Linked DNA regions of Arabidopsis thaliana. The protein of the gene in region 2 interacts with the protein of the main gene of each other region in a pairwise test. Each region holds a gene or a part of one and is shown on either strand. Other genes may lie near its edges.

Evidence for each region.
Region 1: the proteins of SRF2 (region 2) and AT1G68070 interact in a protein complementation assay, tested with the Arabidopsis thaliana proteins (one large-scale study listed by BioGRID).

The regions. Positions count from the first base shown.
Region 1 is NC_003070.9:25,514,463-25,519,676, forward strand, and holds AT1G68070 (Zinc finger, C3HC4 type (RING finger) family protein), read right to left. Parts: upstream 2,600-5,214; 5' UTR 2,306-2,599; coding exon 1,845-2,305; intron 1,760-1,844; coding exon 1,643-1,759; intron 1,566-1,642; coding exon 1,433-1,565; intron 1,354-1,432; coding exon 1,195-1,353; intron 1,112-1,194; coding exon 950-1,111; 3' UTR 770-949; downstream 1-769. Other genes in the region: AT1G68080 (2-oxoglutarate (2OG) and Fe(II)-dependent oxygenase superfamily protein), read left to right, coding at 3,068-3,130, 3,198-3,324, 3,419-3,494, 3,573-3,645, 3,739-3,834, 3,906-4,310, 4,449-4,778; ANN5 (annexin 5), read right to left, coding at 4,980-5,183.
Region 2 is NC_003076.8:2,110,351-2,117,576, reverse strand, and holds SRF2 (STRUBBELIG-receptor family 2), read right to left. Parts: upstream 4,862-7,226; 5' UTR 4,584-4,861; coding exon 4,490-4,583; intron 4,218-4,489; coding exon 4,085-4,217; intron 4,008-4,084; coding exon 3,936-4,007; intron 3,836-3,935; coding exon 3,770-3,835; intron 3,686-3,769; coding exon 3,614-3,685; intron 3,516-3,613; coding exon 3,447-3,515; intron 3,360-3,446; coding exon 3,288-3,359; intron 3,197-3,287; coding exon 3,131-3,196; intron 3,053-3,130; coding exon 2,987-3,052; intron 2,904-2,986; coding exon 2,569-2,903; intron 2,485-2,568; coding exon 2,216-2,484; intron 2,131-2,215; coding exon 1,865-2,130; intron 1,765-1,864; coding exon 1,617-1,764; intron 1,542-1,616; coding exon 1,402-1,541; intron 1,318-1,401; coding exon 1,161-1,317; intron 1,097-1,160; coding exon 914-1,096; 3' UTR 823-913; downstream 1-822. Other genes in the region: AT5G06830 (uncharacterized protein), read left to right, coding at 24-232, 314-446, 564-695; AT5G06811 (transcription termination factor family protein), read right to left, coding at 5,321-7,063.

The DNA of each region.
Region 1 (5,214 bases), on a different chromosome or scaffold from region 2:
GAGAGAGAGTGAGATTTAAATGCTGTCACAGTGTTGTTGTTTATCTTTCTTTCTCTAGTCGTCTTCTCTAATAGCAAGTGTGACAAGACAAGAAGAGGGAAAAAAAACAAAGATTAGATTAGGTTGTTAATTAATCAACGTTCACTTGATCAAGCACTTAAGTATGAAATATAGAGGTTAGTAATTATAATATAGTAAATGGCAATATTGTATGTATATAATTTAGGTGGATGGTTAATTATTTTGGTTAGTGATGTGATTAGCGTAGAAAAGATGTGATTAGTCAAAGAGATGCTTTGCGCGTGAGAGGAGGGAACGTGTAATATGTCTTTTTTTTTTTTTTTTTTTGTTGTTGTTAACTAAATACGTGTACACTAATCTAATCACTGTAATCTGTTGAGATCTCTTTGTTTTTCTTTTTGAGGGACAATCAATTATGTATGTTTTCTCTTTTAACAAATTTGATTGATTCTCTACTAATAAAAGTCCTTTTAAATTGTTATGAGAAACAAAAAAAATCTATTTAAATTGAATGTAAATCAATATAATGTTTCGTTTTTTGAATATCACTGCCATTTGCGACCGAAGTTTTATAGATTAACTTGTTGTATTACCTTTAGCTCTTGGTCTTGATTTGTTTTAGATATATCTTTTGGGTTTATGTTGGTCTTGATTTGTTTTAGATATATCTTTGGGGTTTATGTTTGTTTACATGAACAACAAACATAATGTCACAAATGAGGATTATTTTTGTCTTACGCGATTAGCTACATGATGAATATATCTATTATTATTTGATAAAAAAAAAAGAGAATTGACAACAAATTTCAACAAAGAAACAAACTGTCTTATGACTTACAAACAACACAATCATTTTCTTTTTTCTCTACTCTATATACAACAAAAAGAAACACAACATAAAAAGAAGAAAAGTTTCCTCTACATTACTTCATTCTTGTTCATTACCTTTGAGGATATTGAACTTGCATAGTGGACATGTCGCATTCATTTTCAGCCATTTCACAATGCACGTAGAATGAAAGTGGTGGTTGCAAGGAAGTGAGACCAGCTCTGCTCCATCTTCATATGAACTCAAACATATACAACAGTCCTACACATACCAACCCAATTCAAAAGAAAGCTCTAAGCTTCATATAAAACATCCACAAGATAACTTTCAAAACAAAAACTTACAGCATCCTCGGGAAGAAGCACACGCTCGTTTCCTAAATTCTCACTCGCTGCATCCACAGGTATCATTTTCCCACCACCGTCACTTTGCTTTTCATCATTGTTCATCGTGTGAAACCTGTACTTGGGAAGGATGCTGAGATCTGCTTCTGATGCACCCTCCTAAACACACACACACACATATCAAAAGGCAGTTTATTGCTTTCATTTCTTCCAAAAGGGTTACTGTTATAGTCCATACCTGCCCCGCGACGGCGTAAAGAAGAGCAATAATACAAGGTAGGCAACAACAGAGGGCGATTCCAATAAGACATGCCAGCACAACGCAAAAGATGGCAAAGAACACATCAAATGCAAGGAAAACAAAGGTTAACCTGCAAACATTAATAAACATAATGATGTCATTACCATTCAACTAGAAGAAATAAACATTGAGCAAACCAACACATACCAATACAAATGCGTCGCGTTTTGCAGAAGGATATCACCACCAGAAACAAGCCAGTAGAATCCAACAATCCACCAGACAAATGATATTATAGTGTTCATTGATTCACAAGTCTTAGTGCTGAAAATAATTGATTCTCATAAATCATTAGTAAATCATTTGGCTAAAGAACAAAACAGCACAGATAATTGAATCGAGAGCTAACCTCAGAAACCTCTCATCGTTGTCTTCATCTTCACTATCCTGATTCGTAGCTTGAGCAGCTTCTAAATCTCCAGGTCTGCTTCTAGCATTCCTCTTTCTAAACTCAAGCCAAACAAGGACAACATGAACAAGACACTGAATCGCATAACCACAGATCCAAATCCTAATAGGAACATTTGGCTTCTCTTCTTTAAAAACCAAAAGCATAACAATCGCAACAAGAACAAAAGCAGTGTTCCAAAGCATATCCAAAGCAACAACAGGTTTCGAGTAACCCCAATCAGCTCGTCGCTCTTCAAGCTCTTGTGCAGCTGTTTCTCTAACCACCATCGAAGCTCCTCGTCGTCCTGAAGCTCGATTTAATAGAACCGCGATTACAGGTTGACGACGTGGTGATGATTGCCGTGAACGGAGAAGTGGTGTGGATGAGTCGGAACCGGAAGGTGATTCAGGTGAAGACATCGTTGAATCCGTCTTTGCTTGATACAGAATTGAGAGAGATGAAGATAAATCTAGGGTTTGTTGTGTTTCTTGTACCTATCAGTACCACTCAAAAGTCAAAATAGAGACAAGAGAAAGTACTTTAATAAGTGTATCGGTGATTCATAATTGTCTTAATTCTTAATTTGCTCTTTAAACAATATGTGTTAAGAGTTAGAGATTAGAGGATTACAGACGTTTTAGTAGTCAACAATTAGACTGGTGGTTAGGAAATTGAGATTTTTAACACTTGTCTTCTCGGTTATGTTTAAGAGCAAATGTGGTGGTGATAATGTTGAACTAGAAATATGTAAATAATGAACAAAAATCGATGGTTGGTAGAGGATTTCATGATAGCAAAAGTTGAACAACATTAGAAGTTTAGTAAGAACTTAAATTCGATTGTAGTGGTAAGCACTTAGTATAATCTCATTTTACCTCAGTTTGATACTTTGATTAGTTATTTTCAAAAGTTTTTGTAACATTTGTCTTCTAAAATTCCGGTTTAAGTTAATTGGAACTTACCGACTTAACATTTCTTACATAATAATTTTTTTTTAACATCATATAATTAATTATTCTAATGAACAAAAGAAAAAAAAGATTAACAAACTAATTTCAGTTTAATTCCAAAAGCGGTGGTACACCGAAATAGACAAGACAAGTAAGAACAGGATTAACTGAAACCCTAAACAACCACAATCGATCTGGGTTCATTGGATTCATTACACAAACCGGAGAGACATGTCGGAGAAAGAGCACCCTCGGCTAATTCTACACAATTTCCTGTCGCCGGCAGAATGCAAGGTTGTCCCTTTTTTGCTTAATTTTGTGTCTAATCATGTGGGTTTGGTTAATTTTGAGGTAAAAACAGGAACTTGAGCTTATACACAAGAGTAGCAGTACAATTGGGTACAGACCAAATGTCTTCTCCACTACTCTCTCTCACCTCATTGCCACTAATTCTCCTCACCTCATCATCCCTTTTGTCTCCATTAGAGGTCAATCTTTTAAAACTCAAAGATTTCGCTTTTGTCTTTATATCTTACTTTTGTGAGATTCAAAGGGATGATCTTTGTTGTGTTGAGTTAACAGAGAGGTTGAAAGAGAAGATAGAGGAAACATTTGGGTGTGAGTATGAGCTTTTTATTGAATTCACAGGTTTGATTAGGTTAGTCTCTCTCCCCTGTCTCTTTAACAAAACAAGTCAGGAAAAAAGAGTAAATATTGATTCTTTGTTTTGAATCAGTTGGTGCAAAGGAGCTAGCATTGGTTGGCATAGTGATGATAACAGATCATATCTAAAACAAAGAGATTTTGCGGTTCGTATTCACTCTCATTTTTGTAATCTATAGACGTCCTTGTTGATATTGTGGTTTATGTGTGTATGACTTTGGTTTTTAGTTGGTTTGAAGGCAGTTTGTTACTTGAATAGTTACGAGAAAGATTTCATAGGCGGTCTTTTTCGTTTTCAGAGTGGTGAACCAGTAACCGTTGCTCCATCGGCTGGTGTAAGTATTGTTCTTTTTCAGTTGGCTTAGTGGTTACTTAGATTGAATAATGAGTTTGTGTTCTTGAGCAGGATGTTATCATGTACACAGCTGATGACCGGAATATTCACTCAGTTGATGAGGTAACAGATGGAGAAAGATTGACTCTTGCACTCTGGTTTAGCCGGGACTCATCACATGACGAAGATTCCAAGCTTCTTTCTCGTCTTTCACAATGTACATCACATGAAGTGTGCCTCCCTTTGCCTGCATCCACTAACATGTACTGGTTCTGTCCTCATCAAGATGGTTCTAATCAAAACATAGGTTTTGATGTTTGCGTTGCGAGGTTGCATCTTCTTGGTTTTGATGTACATAGCTTACAAGGCGAAGATCATTCTACGGATGCCTCTGAACAACTTATGGGACCACTACAATTAGCTAAAGGAGGAAAGTTACTCACCCGAAAATTTGCCAACATTCTTCATGCTCTTCAGGTACTTTTCTCTTTGACATTCACATGAGTTTCTTCGAGGTCGTTAGTGATTAGTTGATATAGTAAATGTCTTGTTAAACGGGCTTCCTTTCATCATATATAATCAAATGCTTATTTCTTCTCTTTTGCTGGATAATAGGTTGTTCAGTTCTACCATTGGAAAGCTTCTGAACTCGTAACTTCTAATGTCGAAAATGACACATTAGAAGAGGTGAAAGCTATGTCCCACTCTCAGTTGGAAACTATCAATGCCCTGAAATCAGTTTTCCTGCTAGATGAGAACCTCGTAGCCACAACTTTTGGATATTCGTGCTCTGGTGAGGATCGAAAGGATTCACTCGACTTGACGGGTATAGCTCTCGCGGTTACCTCTTGGGAAGAGTATAGCTGTAAGTTACTCAAGGAGCTATTATCATCCTTGCCTCAATGGAAAACTTATCAAACTATACACAAAGTGGAATCTGATTAGAAATGAATTCTGAGTTACTGTTGAATTGAGTAGTTAACAACTTGAAAGTGATTCTCTTGGCTTCAAAGAACAGCTTCTCAATTATCTCTTTGTTTGATCTTACACATAATCATGTTATAATATCCTTCAAGATTGTTGCAAGTAATTTTGTAAGATACAGAGAATCAAAGTTAATTTTGGGATTGGATACAGAAAGAGATCTCAAACGTTGGGGCCTAAAAGAGAGAGGAGAAAAGTCCTGTAATGACTAGTTGTATCAGAATGAACAGCATTGTACAAAGTCTTCTTGTATCTCTTACGGTATTCTGTGATGATGAACTGCATATCCACCTCTGCTCTCGTCACCACGATTCTTATCAACGCCGTGTCATCTGTTCCTAATCCTTTCATTGATTTCCTCAATGCCTGCGCTTTCAGTTTTCGTTTTGTAAACTCG
Region 2 (7,226 bases):
TGATGTCGTTTCTCTTGTGTCAGGTCAAGGCATTTTTGAACCAGCGTTTGATAGAACTGAGAAATGAAGATACGCTGTCCTTGCAACACCACGTGCAAGCAGTCTCCCCCATGGTTCTTCAGCAGTATTCTCCTGAAACCATAGAGCCAATGGTGGTTGACATCTCCATGGCCATTTCATTGCTAACAAACAAGAAATCTCGGGATCTGATCATGATCCTCAACTCCAAAAGGTGCGTTAGGATAAAGAATCTCTGCCAGGGGATCACAGTGAGTACCACAGCTTCTGATATATGTATTTGTTTGTCGAACAGATTCCTAGATAGGCTTGTTTCAGAGCTGGAGGAGAAGAAGCACCGTGAAGTGAAGTTAAGAGAGAGCTTGAAAGATGTGGGTAGAAGACGCATGGAGCTGCAGAATTCACTTTCTGCTATATGGCCAAAACAGGTAACCTCATGTTCTTAAAAAGCTTGTTTTGGCTAAACTGTGGATTATCAGAAATTTGGAATTGGAAGGGGCTATTATCTAACAAATTCTGTTTATTGATTTTGGTATTGAATACAGGAAGCTGCACTTTCGAAAACAAGAGAACTCAAGGAGCTATGTGAGACAAGTCTCTCTTCCATGTTTGATGGAAGACCTGTGAATATAAGAGGAGAGATCAATACATTGTTGAACGCTGGGGTTTCTGCTTAGTTTGATCTTTGGGATTTGCTAGAAAACTTAGTTTCAGTACACCAAGTGACCCTGTTTCTTGCTTTAGGATTTTGCCTTGTTTCAAACTCTTTTGTATTTCTATTATATACCAAGAAACTTCCTTTTTACCAAGACTAATACGTGTATATCATCATATGCTAAGAACTATTCTTTTCACAGTAAAGTATATGTGCATGAAGTAGAGATACAGAAAATGTTCAAGAGGAGAGGTAGCTGAAGGTAGGTGAGGAGATGAAGCGTGTGCGTGTTGAGCAGAAAGATTTACTAAAAGGGTCGGTCTTGTCTGCTACACTACTGCTTGCTTCCTTGTTCTGTTTCTGTATCAGCGCAGTGAGGGCTTCCACTATTTCTGAAACCGGTGGTCTGAACTCCTTCTCTGCCTGCTTATGAAAGAATGGTTAGTTAATGTAATGATCCTGAGTGAAGAAACTCTAATGACAATACCTGAGTGCATAGGGAGATAATGTCTGCGTATTGTGAGGCGACTCTTGAGGAGAATGTGCCGGCTATGCCTCCATCAATCATCTGTTCTAAGCTTCGCCTGTCATGAAGTCTGGTTGATGCCCATTTCACCAGTAGCTGTTCTCCTCGGGGTCGTGAGCTGCAAAACATCCATCAGAAAAGGGTCATGATTAGCTTAGCTTAGGCATCAATGATTATATTATTATGTGAAACGCTTGTGTACCTGTCAAATGCTTTCCTTCCTGTTAACAGTTCTAAGAGTAGCACTCCCAGTGCATAAGTGTCACTCTTTGTGCCACTGCTTCCTGGTTGTCCATGTTCTGGTGCTATGTAGCCAGTGTTTTGTATCGCTATTTCTGAAGCCTGCTCTAAATCACAACTCATTAGGTCTCTCTGAGTCAAAGAATTAGGTGACACATCAGATGCTGTCTTACTTACCCGAAGTTTAACACTGTTGCTTGTAAGTGGCCTTAAACTAGCAAGCCCACAGTCAGCAATACGAGGTGTAAGTTCTTCGTCTAGTAAGATGTTTGTTGCTTTCAGATCGCTATGGGCTATAGGAGGGCAAAACGACGAGTGCAAATAGCTGAAAGTTTTTGATTCACCAGATAGGGAAGAGTCAAAATAAATAACTGCAAGGGTAGGGAATAGCTACTACCACTAGTTTGAGAAGATAGAATACTTACTCCAGAGCTCGGGCAACTCCAATAGCAATGCGGAGACGCAAGCCCCAAGAAAGTGGCTTGTATACCTCATCATGCATAGCATTGTACAACGACAAATGGCCAACATACTCATAGACAAGAAGATGCTCTCCATTCTCAATGCAGAAACCGAGAAGTGTAACAATGTTTGGGTGTCTTAGTTTGGAGGCTGTCTGAAGCACTTCAGTAAACTGTTCCTCTTCATGTAAAGATAGCGAAGACATTGGGATGTTTCTGACGACGGCAAACTGTTTTAACAAAACATCAATGGATGAGACACAAATAATAAAATTCCCAATTTTGAATGTTTGAAGAGAGAGAAGAGAGATATACCTGACCATCAGGCAACTTTGCTCTGTAAACAGAACCAAGAGGACCCTCTCCGAGTAGATTTTCCTCACTGAAACAGTTAGTTGCCAGTTGAAGCTCTGCAGCTGAGAAAAGCTTAGCGAACGATGGATATTGACATGTTGCAGAGAAGCTCTTTCTTCTTGCAGATTTATCGATTCTGACAGGTGGAGAAGGTAAATGTCTGAGTTGGGGAGCTGGTGGTGGCTGGAACCTTTTAATCTGTGGGTTATCTTCAGTTGCAACAGGATATTCTGTTACATGTGAAGGTAAAAAGTCAGCACCAGGGAATCAGAATGGCCATTGTAAAAATGAGGGGAGAGACAAGCATATATCACCTCGGCCTGTACTGACTGGAAGAGAGTATGCTATGCTATTGTTGCTTCTGTGAATAGCAGCAAGGTTTTGTGCACGTCGATGATTCATGCGAACTGCGAAAAGTGCAAAGAAAGTTCCCAGCAAAGCTAACCCACCAACCAGTAAAAAGGTACTTCCTGCTCCTATGCCTTTCTTCTTCTTTTTGACCTTCTGAGTCTCAGGTCTGGGAAAATTCATAATGGCACTTGACTCTGTTGTTGGATAGCCAGTATCATTTTGTATCAGTGGTCTGACGTCCAATGGGAACTTCCACGGTTTATAGTTGGGCTCTACATGGAACTTGTTTCCCCAAATCCTGCTCAGGAAAACACCAATGATTTTCATGAGTCATAGGTGTGTCTGAGCCAATTTATGAGAAGGGGGGAATAATAAACTCACCACAGATGAGGAATGGACTGAAAATGACTTGGGATAATACCACTGAACTGGTTATCTTCGATGTTCCTGAAGACATATGTTTAGGTCATAAATAAAGGAAGTTCAATGAAATGGAAAATCAAAGCACAAAGAGAGTGAAACTACAGGTCAGCTAAAGGAAGATCCGCGAGATATATGACTGATCCTGTTAATCTGTTGTTCTGGAGGTACCTGCAGTTTTGTTATCACAGCATCAAAACTGTTATTAGGTTATACCAACGTGCACAAAGCAGATAGCAGATATAAGAAACCAGATACTTACAGTGAAGTCAGATTCATTAGAGTCCCAAAAGAGCTCGGTAGATCTCCCGTCAGGTTATTGAATGACAGATCCCTAGCAAAGTCAATATTTGAATATGAATGGGTATCTTGCACCTATATATGGTGATGAAAGACTAACAGAACTGAACAGAAGACTCACATTTCTTTAATCTGTAACCCAGAAAACACATTTCCAAGAGGTCCAGATAATGAATTATGGCTCAAATTTCTAGAAGACAGAGGAAGCCATTATTTAACAAATCAGTATAAAAGGAAAGCAATGTGATGAGATATTTCAAAGATATCCATTTGGAATAAGCCACTTACAAAGACTGAAGAGATGTCATAAGAGGTAAGGAAAAAGGGATACTTTGGGTCAGATTGTTGTAAGCCATGTTTCTGTAATCGGCAAACAACGAAAACACTCGTGAATTGCACTGGAATGTATGCTTAAAAGATGAATGCACTTGCTTAAACACTTACATATGAGTAGCGTTAGGAGGCAAGCCAAACGGAATTTCACCCTCAAGGTTATTGAAGCTTACATCCCTAAACAAAGTAAAGACCAATGCTTTGAATAAATATCAACAATACAATGACTCTGTCTCGCAATGAAGTTAACAATCAAGAACCAGAAAAGTTTGCTTACAGAATCTTCAAATTGTGGAGATGTTGAAGCTGGTTTCCAAGGCTGCCCAAAAGCTTTAACTCTCGCAGTTGTCTGCGATAGAATGAATCAGATTTTGCTCGAACCGGACAAAATAAAAACTGAGGAAAAGGGTTAAACAAGGAGATTACAGGTCTACTATAGAAGAACCAGAACAAGAAATTCCCAGCCAGGCTTCTCCGCATGGATCTCCACCCTCTAATCTCCATCCTCTCAGCTGTTCTGGATTTCTCAGAGACTTGTAGAGATCTTGAAGAGCCAAAACTAAACGGAGAAACACAAATAAACAACAATCACATATAGCCGAAGACTAAACAGTCATTTGGTGATGATCAAGTAACAGCGAAAGATCTAAAACTCGCGACTAAACCCATAGAAATTTCAAGTCAAGAAAGGGTTTCTGTGTTTTGGTGATGATCAAGTAACAGTTCGTTCCTAAGTAAGTAAAATTGAAACAGAGAACAACGACGAACAAGAATCTTAGCTAGGATTCACTCCTAGACTGAGAAAAATGAAACGAGAATCTGGAAATTTACCTTCAAGCGGATCAGTATCAGTCTTCGCCAGAACAAATAGAATCGTCGTGAGCAGAATTGTAGCGAGGAATCGCAATTGCTGTTTGGTTTTCATCACTATAATCTCTCTCGACTCTCAGTAATAATGGTGCTTTATGCAGAGAAAGTGATACGTTTAAGCTCCGACATCTAACGAAAGGAGAAAAGAAGAAAAGAATGGTGGAATTTTCTCGCACTTTCTCTCGCTTTCCGGGAAAACAAACAGAGAGGAAACTCGGAAGAGAGAACATCAAAGAAGGAGCTTTAGTTAGAGAGATGGTACTTAATAAAAAAGCCAAAGCGCGAATATTCCACGTCAGCAAAAACAGTTAAGGACGTTGGAGTCAACTAGTCAAACCTTCGTGCCACGTGGCTTTTCTTTTTCTTAAAGACTGTGATCATCGTTATTTGATTTTATTTGAGGCTTGATTATATGATAATGTTTGAATAACATTATAATCTCTCTTTATAGTGTTTTTATATACCTTAATCTTCTCAATGAGTTTCGTTATTCAGTTAGTTTTTGTTCAAGTTCATTCTCGAATTCTGCCACAGTTATATTATGAGTTCCTTTCATTGAAATTTGTTGAGATTAAACAAATTTGTTTATTTTTTCTCCAACTTTTAAAAAATTGAAATAGAACTTGTAAAACTTACATAGCAATCTGCTCCAGGAGATAACACAAAACTGCAGCTACTGCTTCAAAAAAATGTCTTCATCAGATACAAAATCGAATCTTTCCTTTGTGTTTGGGGCTCATTTGCATTGTTGTGGTCAATACTATATATATCCTGATGCATTCTTGATCTCTACTAACACACAAGTAGTTTCTTCAGGTCTTCCAAATGCTTAGGCCCATCGGGGTGACGGTTTACAAATCTAGTGGCAAAGAACTTGTCCGAGCACACAAGTATAGTACTAACTTGAAGCTTTGGGTCTGCTTTTCCTCGATCTTGAAGCCAAGAGAACATTGAAAATCGAAGCTTCATCCGCTGAAGAGTGTACTTAAGACATGTTGGGAAAGTCACCAATGTCGAAAGCGGATAACCTAATTCCTTTACAAGGTAGTTCACCTTTGATTCTAAGATATCACATGCCTGGGTGAGGATACTAGGACATGCTTTCACCATATCTTTGACATCTTTCTCAGTAAGACCGAAACTCACGAGGACATTAAATCTCTCTCGGAGTTCAGATCCTTTGCCACGGAAATTCTTGAGTGCTCTCTCCATTTCCTCAGAGTTTTCTTTGTATCCGAGGTCTAACAAGAACTGAGTCTTCATTGTTTTCGACTTTGTGTTTACCTTGTATCCAGTAGCTGGTAATGGCTGGACTCTTAACCCCATAATCCATTTTTTCATCTCTTCTGGATTTTCTTGAATGACTTGACATAGCCGCCCTTTCCCACCCTTCAAATTGATAAGTAAGGTACTGGTTTGCTTCAAACGAGATACACCAATCCACAAAGAGTGCAAACGGAAAATCTTACCGATCTCGTCATCATCCATCTCAATATCTTTCAGAAACAAGAAGCAATGCCTTAAATTCAAAACAAATTTACCTAAACTCTGACACTGAGGGAATTTCTGAAACAACGAAGAGAGTTCACTTCTGGATGACCCTAGTTTTGCTTCAAACCCAGCTAGAATCAATGTCCATTCCCCTGAATCCTCGAAAATAAGTCTTGGCATCTTTCTGATTAACTCACATAGCTCATTTTCATCAACATACAAATCTCTAAGAAAACTTAGACATCTATGCATAGAGCTCCAATCATAAGACACCTCCTCTGACAAGTTCTCTGTTACCCAATCAACACCAAAACCAATAGCTTTCAGCATCTCCATGACCTTAGCCAGTCCAACATTCATATCCCCAATCAAGATACTTGGGCTACAAACTATAAGTTTCGATAGAAACAATTTGCTAAACCCCAAATCCTCATAAGACTTAATCTTGGAAGCTAAAACCCCGGTTTCATACCCGAAAACTTCCCTAGCTTCCTTAAAGATCTTCCCCATCTTCTCCCTTCCAATTCCATAGTTCCAAAAGACATGATAGTTCTCCAGCAAAAAAGCATCTTCATTCAAAAACATCTTATCACAAGGAATCAAATGACTAAACTCTGACGGCTTCAAACCTAAACTCTCTAAAAAGGGCTCAAATTCATTAACAGGATGAAACCATAGAAACCTAGTAATAGCTTTAACTATATCATCATCATCATCAACATCAACATCACAACCATTAAGCTTCTTCAAAAGATTATCATTAAAAACAGGAGCATTCTTACTCATACTCTCAGCAACCAGAAACTGCAAACCTCTCGTTTGATAAAAGTAATCAAACATCGCAACTTGAGCCACTTTACGAATCTCGTTTCGAGTTCTAAGACCCCATTTCTCGCCGGAAACTTCAGCATCGACGAGTGCTCTTTGGGTGGCGAAAAATCTAGGGTTTCTAGAAAGTTGGGGTTTTAAAGGGGTTTCTGCAAAAGCTTGTGATACCCAATTGAGAAGAAGACTTTTGAATCTAGGGTTTCGCATAAAAGACATTACCTGTTACGCAGACATATGGAAGATATGCAGAAGATTTGTCTACACAAAGCAAGAAGTATGTTTCAATGTGAAGAAGACGAAACTAGTTGACCAAAAAAAAAAAAGTGAATAAAATAATTTTAAAGTAAAAAAATACATAAATATTCATTTGTTCATATAA